Linked DNA regions of Canis lupus familiaris. The protein of the gene in region 1 purifies or fractionates together with the protein of each later gene. This does not show direct contact. Links are inferred from orthologs where the notes say so. Each region holds a gene or a part of one and is shown in the gene's direction. Other genes may lie near its edges.

The links. The genes of interacting proteins can lie anywhere in the genome.
Region 2: the proteins of DDX5 (region 1) and DROSHA purify together in Homo sapiens (co-immunoprecipitation; 4 studies listed by BioGRID and IntAct, with this or other methods). This does not show direct contact. The link is inferred for Canis lupus familiaris from reciprocal best matches to the Homo sapiens genes DDX5 and DROSHA.

Annotation. Positions count from the first base shown.
Region 1 is NC_049230.1:14,616,337-14,620,084, forward strand, and holds the start of DDX5 (probable ATP-dependent RNA helicase DDX5), read left to right. Parts: upstream 1-1,111; 5' UTR 1,112-1,139; exon of another isoform or gene 1,140-1,583; intron 1,584-1,763; 5' UTR 1,764-1,898; coding exon 1,899-1,942; intron 1,943-3,160; coding exon 3,161-3,326; intron 3,327-3,658; coding exon 3,659-3,748. Other genes in the region: CEP95 (centrosomal protein of 95 kDa), read right to left, coding at 854-872. UniProt on the Homo sapiens protein: Involved in the alternative regulation of pre-mRNA splicing; its RNA helicase activity is necessary for increasing tau exon 10 inclusion and occurs in a RBM4-dependent manner. Binds to the tau pre-mRNA in the stem-loop region downstream of exon 10.
Region 2 is NC_049225.1:76,748,329-76,751,976, forward strand, and holds part of DROSHA (ribonuclease 3), read left to right. Parts: intron 1-395; coding exon 396-495; intron 496-1,933; coding exon 1,934-2,041; intron 2,042-3,648. UniProt on the Homo sapiens protein: Ribonuclease III double-stranded (ds) RNA-specific endoribonuclease that is involved in the initial step of microRNA (miRNA) biogenesis.

The DNA of each region.
Region 1 (3,748 bases):
CCTAAATTCAGAACTAGCACATTACCAACACTGTTGGAAGTTTCCTGTGTGCCACCGCACCCCACCCCCAGATACGGTCGGAATTAGCAAGATTATTTCACGACTTTCTCCAACAAAGGTAATTTCTAAAGCCTGACCTATTTGCTCCCTGATACAATTTAAGGTGGTTAAGAAGTCCTTCTACTTCGTATTTGACGAACTGAGCGCGTTCAAGGCACGTTATCTCCCTGTCCCCGTGCCCACTTCTCACAGCTGACCAAACCACGAGCTGGTTTGAACGCTGTCCTGAGGAAAGGATGAAAAGAAAAGCGTCCCGGACAACCCAACCCACTCGGTTTTCAAAAGCGGTTGCTAGACAATGCAGGTAACTCCAGAGGGCACTGAAGAGAAAAATCCGCCACTATCCTACTGTGGCAGGAGCATCAGCAGATCTTTAGAGTGCCGTTCCCCTCAAAACTTCAATGCACATGGAGGTAACGGCCTCAGTCCCCACAATCCAAGAGGCAGAGAGCGCGCTGACAGTGGCTGGATGCCCCAGAGAAACACGAGTCCCGGGAAGCAGCTTTCCGACTGCCCTTTTTGCAGCCAGGTTGCGGGCGTGCTGCGGGCCTCGCCACGGGGTTCTTCTCTCCACACCCCAAGATCTCGCTAGATGGCCTCTAGGAGGGGGACCCAGAGCGGGGCCAAGAAACCCACGGAACCGCCGACTGCGACTGGGTGTCTGTCACCAGCCCCGCCGGCAGCCCAGACCCAGGGAGTCCAGCCGGAGGATTCGAGATAAAAGGCCTAGGAGCGTCCGGCGGACTTAAAGGGTTTCAGTCCACACACACCCGGGCTCCGGGCCGAGACTCACCAGCCTCTGAGCCGGCCATGTCACGGAGGCAGGTCGCTGCCGGACTTCCAGCTGGGCGCGAGGCGGACGGCGTCCGGGAAGGGCCGCACAGCGCAGACGCAACGCCGAGGTGGGGGGAGAACGAAACGAAAGGGCAGGGGGTGAAAGAGGGAGGGACGTTAAAACGGCTTCTTGCTGCTGATTGGTCATCACGGGAGGACTTCCTTTCGCAGCACGCGCCCAGGCGGCGGTTTGTGGGCTCTAGGTACCATTCTCCGCGGGCAAGATCCCGCTGAGGGATTCTCAGGTGGGTGGATTTGACAGGCCGGGTCACCCAGCGGCCCTGGCCGGCCTCCCGGGGGCAATAGTACGGCACTTCCGGCGAGCTATTTCGTTTCGTATTCCTCCGCCGACGCCAAGTGGAGAAGTAGTGCGGTCCGCTTACCCGATGGGCGGGAGCAGTCACGTGACAATGTCAGGCTCCGCCTTCCCGTCTCACTTGGTTAGGGGCGTGAAGGCTCTTCGGAGACGTAAACATCTCCAAGTGGGCTGAGTGGGTTGGTCTGTGCTGGCCATTTTGTCGGCAGGGCTAGACCTGGGAAAGGGCGGGGTGGCTTCCTTGAGGTGTGGAAAGACGAGAAAAAGGTGAAGAACACAGAGTAGGCTAAGGCGTCTCAGTGCGGGTGGGCCCAGCCGTGAAAGGGGCCCCAAGCCGGCGACTCTGAGGGAAGCGGAGGGTGGGGGTGGGGCGAGAACATGGCGGATCCCGGAACGCCGGCGGGCGTTGCGGCCTCTGCGCAGGGGCGGGGTGATTAGGTCATAGAGCGGCTCCCAGCATTCTCCGCGGCGGAGGAGGCGGTCCAGGCTATAAAACCGGCTGCCGGGACGCGGCCGGCACCTCATTCATTTCCACCGGTCTCTTGTCGAGCAGCTCCGGCCCCTGTCATCGCCGCCCCGCTGCCGCTGCCGCCCCCGCAAGGCTTTGCCATCGCCAAAGCCACCTGCAGCGACTCGTCGCACCCGATTCTCTTTACTTCGTTCCCCGCCAACCGCAACCATTGACGCCATGTCGGGTTATTCGAGTGACCGAGACCGCGGCCGGGATCGAGGGTGAGTGTGGGAACGGACTTGTCAGGCCCGGCAGTGGGGGATGGGAGGCCGATGAAGGAGGCGGCGGGCGGGGGCGATGGACAGTCGGCTTTTTCCGGCTATATTTAACCTTTACGAATCGAAGGCTTGCGCCATTTTGATATTTGTCCGGAACTGACAGAGGGATGTTTCCCTGTTAACGGTCCTCAAGCTCGCCTTTTGTTGGTGGGGGGATGGGGGAGGCGCCGAAGCCCCCGCCCCCGCCGACTGAGCAGCTGTTGGGGACAATTCGGGGGAGTGTATTTCAATGGTTGGAAAGCGCGACGCTTTCAGGAGAACGAAGTCACCGCTGTTCGGTGCATCTTTTCGGGAAGTGTTGTAGGGGCCCCGGGAGTTCTGTGGTAATCGAAGGGGTCGCCTCACGAGCCATTGATGGCGCGGGAGCAGGAGGGCGGCCGGCACCGCGGGAATCGGCCATGTGGCTGAGCCGCGGGTACAAAATGCCGGCGCCGGACATGGCGGCGGCGCCTTTGTTACCCCGCCCGGCGGAGGAGCTCAAAATGGCAGCGTCGAGAAAATGTGGCGCAGAGAGAAATGCGAGACAAAGGGGGAAGCGCCGCCCCAGCGGGAACGCCGCCCGGTCCGGGACTCCTCCCCCGGTAGTTGCCAGCTCCTCCTCCTCTTTTTCTTTGCGTTATATAATTTTGCTATCTTGATGAGGAGCCCTCCGGGGGGATCCCCCCAATTCGATGGGCTTGCATAAATGTCTCTGAGACCACCGTCCTTGTTCTGTTCTCGTTGGTGCTGTCCCATTATTCCTTAGAACCAAAGCTGCTTGGCTTGGAAAGAGCTGATAATAACATTGCTGTTACGCACCTCCCTTGTATTGTCTCTCCCCCAGACATTTAATGCCTAAGCTCACGGGAAAGACTAGGAGCCACAAGCTGTTGTCTATCCTTGTAATCTGAACATGGGGCGTTTGGGCAGCCAATTTCCGACCTGATAAATCCCGGGCTGTTGATTTGGCTTCAATAGTGTGTATTTGGGACAACGGAAAGTGAGAGAGATGGTGCTAATTGTGGCTTTTGAGAGCATGACCCATCACTAAGGACAGTGCTAAGTCTTAAACCTCGAAAAGTCTTTCATTTATCTGTACTGTGTGTCAAGGGACAATAAATAGTCTGTATGTAAACGTCTTAGTAGGTAGTTGAAAATATAACTTTTTTGTTTTAATTTCAGGTTTGGTGCACCTCGATTTGGGGGAAGTAGGGCAGGGCCCCTATCTGGAAAGAAGTTTGGAAACCCTGGGGAGAAATTAGTCAAAAAGAAGTGGAATCTTGATGAGCTGCCCAAATTTGAGAAGAATTTTTATCAAGAACACCCTGATTTGGCTAGGCGCACAGCAGTGAGTAATTTCACAGGGCTTCCTTGGGCTGTAACTCAACAGTGACTTTTAGTAAACAGAAATTTGAACAGAGGCCTTGGAAAACTCATATTTTCTGATAGTCGAGGAAGAGGAGGTGCTTTGGCAAGTGGTATCTTTGAATTTTTCTGTTTAGAGTGGTTAAATATAACTACAATAGATGGATCTTGTGCTCTGTAGGTTTTCTATATGTGGATATAGATTTTAAATGGCCCGTTACAGTTTGCTAATCCTTGATAAACTTAAGGCCTGCTGACTGCATATTGGTGAAGGTTGTTATGGTACTTAGTAGGTTATTAAAATTTGTTTTATAGCAAGAGGTGGAGACATACAGAAGGAGTAAGGAAATTACGGTTAGAGGTCACAACTGCCCAAAGCCAGTTCTGAATTTTTATGAAGCAAAC
Region 2 (3,648 bases), on another chromosome or scaffold:
GACCAACAGTCCTTGTTAAGTAAGAGGTCTTTCTTTCAATAACATCAGAAAGTACATATTTAAATAAAATAGGTAATGATGAGAAATAATACGTGTTTCTGTTGGTTTTTATGTGTCTATGAATTCTTTCCACAGAGATTCGGGCACTTATAGGGTACCTCATTTTCAACACAGACTTAAAATTATCAACTTAACCACTAGGTTCCAGATGACTCTCGGTCATCCTGCCCCACTGTCCCCAGATCATATGCTTCCTTAGAATGAAGGTTTGTTGCCATTAAGGATATCTAAAGAATGTAATTTATGATTCAGCAGGCCTATTAAAACAGCTGGTTTTATTGCATTTCAGATTCTCCTACTTTTTTTCTGAGATGTCTGTCTGTCCTTTTCCTTAGGTACCAGAAACTGTGGAAGAGTTATGTGAAACTTCGCCACCTCCTAGCAAATAGTCCCAAAGTTAAACAAACTGACAAACAGAAGCTGGCACAAAGAGAGGTTGGTATCAAATCCTGTTCTTCTGGGATTAATGTTGATGTGTTTCATGTTTATTTCAAGATTATTGCATTATACCATACTTCTAGAATAAAATGGAAAAACACTTTTAAAAATACACTTTTCTTTCCTCACATTAGTATACAGATTGATATTTTTTTCATCTTTTAGTATCTAGAGGAGCATTATCACCACCACCACCACCACCACACCAAAAAAGGCCTCTTTCTTAATGGATTCCTACCATTGGGAATAAATATATCTTATAGAGATTTTTCAAATTTTAAAATTGCTGGGTCAACCTTTTATTGTTAATTAGACTGTACATAACACAACTTGGGTCTTGCTCAAATTTCTTGTACTTAAGGTCGTAAAAGATTGCCTTTCATATGTCTTCCATATGTCTGTTAGTTTAGTAGGGTAAACTTCTTTCATAAGGTTTTATGTCCCAAAGTCCATATTTTTTACTAATGGGTAGTATTATCCCTGTACTCCAGGATCATTTTTAAGAATAAATCAATTCAGTATCAACATAAATTTTGTTTCATTGAGGTTTTATTTTGCTTTGGGCAGTGTTAGAGAGCAAGGCTTTGAAGCTGGGAAAAGTGTTTGAATTCTGGTCCAGTCACTTCCTGTGACTTGAGCCAGATAGCTTCATTATAAAGAGAGAACTAGATTAAGGGAGGATGACTGAAATTTGTTTCTGTTGGTGCATCTGGGAAAAAAAGGTGGTTGTGTGGACTTCTGAAATACTCCGTTTAACTTTCCTCCGATGGTGTTTGATCTGTAGTAGGCATTTAATGAGGCAGGTGGTGTGATAGTTCCTGTTGTTATGAACTCTTATGAGATTTTTATTGAATAAGTGTACAAATATAAAATTATTTTTATAATTAATTATTTGAAGGGAGGTAAAAGGGAAGAGTCAGCTCCTTTATATCTTGCAGAAGTTTTAAATCATTGTCTTTTTTAAATAAAAAGGTACCCTTGCTGCAAGAGGTTTTGTAAGGGTTTTGCAAATGAGAAGACAGCTTTTAGAATTATGTGGGTTGCAGATTAGTTTACTGATTGTCTTTCTTAGATGTAAATGCTTAACATAAGGCTTGATATAAATATAATTTTTACATGCTGATTTTAAGTCTCAAACATCACATGTTGTTTCTTTTATCAGCAAAGGGGCATTTTTTGTTTGAACTCACCAGAATGGTCGATTTGGTTTAGATTTTTTCATATCTAGGTACCAGGAAAGGCTGGCATATACCCAAGGCTTTGAGCATCCTGGCCTTCATTTCAAATAAAATATTATAATTTAACATGAAGAGGTTTGAATACCTGAATGTAAGGGTGATATTGAATGAATCCAGCTTATTTTCCAATGCTTGATGTTTGGCTTAATATTGCTTTACAGCTGTCAGTTTACTCATCATAATGAGTTCTTTTCTAGGAAGCACTCCAAAAAATACGACAGAAGAATACAATGAGGCGAGAAGTAACAGTGGAGCTAAGTAGTCAAGGATTTTGGAAAACTGGCATCCGTTCTGATGTCTGTCAGGTGATGACGCCTCTAAGAACACATTTATACCTATATATCTCTTTAAAAGGCATCTGCCACTGAAGTTTTCCTAATGCGGATGAGATGAGTTGCTACAGAACATACAATCTTGTAGCTAAATGGAACACCAACCATAAATTGTTTTCTATTGTTTGGGTTTTGTTTTTGTGTCAGTTTTCATCTTGTTTAGCTGTGTGTGTGTGTGCGTGTGTGTGCCCCTGCATGAATGCATGCATACATGTGCACGGTGGTAGGATGAGTTGGGGGGCAGTTACTTAGTAATGCTAAATTCTGTCTCTGCCTGTTGAGTGAAGGCAAGTGTGTTTTTCAAATGCATCTGCCTGTGTGCAATGCGTGTGGGCGCTTGTCAAAAGAGCGATTCCAGCAGCTGTACAGGCAGACTCCTGAAGATGATGTGTACAGACTTTCCAGACTGATGAGTCAAACTTACATTGCAGAGAACTGAAGGCATTAATGAACAAAATCAGTATGAATTTCATATTTGAGTCAAATGATAACAGATTTTTTCCTTAGATGAACTAATAGAGGAACATTTCAACTATATATAACTCTCACTAATAACTATTTTTGTTTTCCCTATGAGTGGAATTTATAATATATTAGAGACCCCTAAAACCCAACATATTCTCTGACTCTTCACTCAATTCTCTTGTTATGATTGATACTGGTTGTGCTCCATGGGAATTATAGTAAAGGCGAGGAGGTCACCCAGGCAGGGGTCAGGTCAGGTAGTGTAGTGTGCCATGTTCAGCCTTTGGGAAGAATGCTTACAGGCTTCCACTCACTCTTGTTTTGTGTAGCATGTGTTTGGTAATACGTTCAAGCAGTCTTGGGTATTTATTTCATCATAATGAGGTATTTTTTCTTTAAGTCAGTGTTGGCATTTAATTATTATATTGAACAGTGGGATTTAATCTTATTATTAAAGGTACTGCTAGGTGATTCATTTACATTGTGATTCCAGAGCTATATATTTTTGTGTTAAGATGGACTACTGTTGATGCCATGTTACTAGATGGAGAATTAATTCTCTATAGTGGCAGCCAGCTGTATCTACCAAGTTGTCAGTTATTTTGCTAACTGACCAATTTTTTTTTTTTAATTTTTTACTCTAAGTATTCAGAAATGAGTATCTTCTGCTGATTTTTTCTTAGGACCTTGACGCTATATTATCTAATTTTTATTTTCCTCCAAAACAAACATAATGTCATCCTAAGGTAGACAGCATAAGAATGATGAGCAGAGGGTGCCTGGGTGGCTCAGTTAAGCCTCTGCCTTTGGCTCAGGTCATGATTCCCAGGATCCCTGCTCAGTGAGGGGCCTGCTTCTCCCTCTCCTTCTGCCCCTCCCTTCTGCTTGTGATCTCTCTCTCTCTCTCTCATCTTTCTCTTTCCTTCTCAAATAAATAAATAAAATCTTAAAACAAAACCATGAGCAGAATGTTCAACAATCTGCTCAAAATCTGGTCCTCTCAATGATAAGTCAGAGTTGATAGAGACATCATAAAATTGTAGAGCATTATTAACTGGAAGGGACCTTAGAGATCTTTCAGCTCAGTGAATTTTAAACTTGTGTTTTTGGTTAAC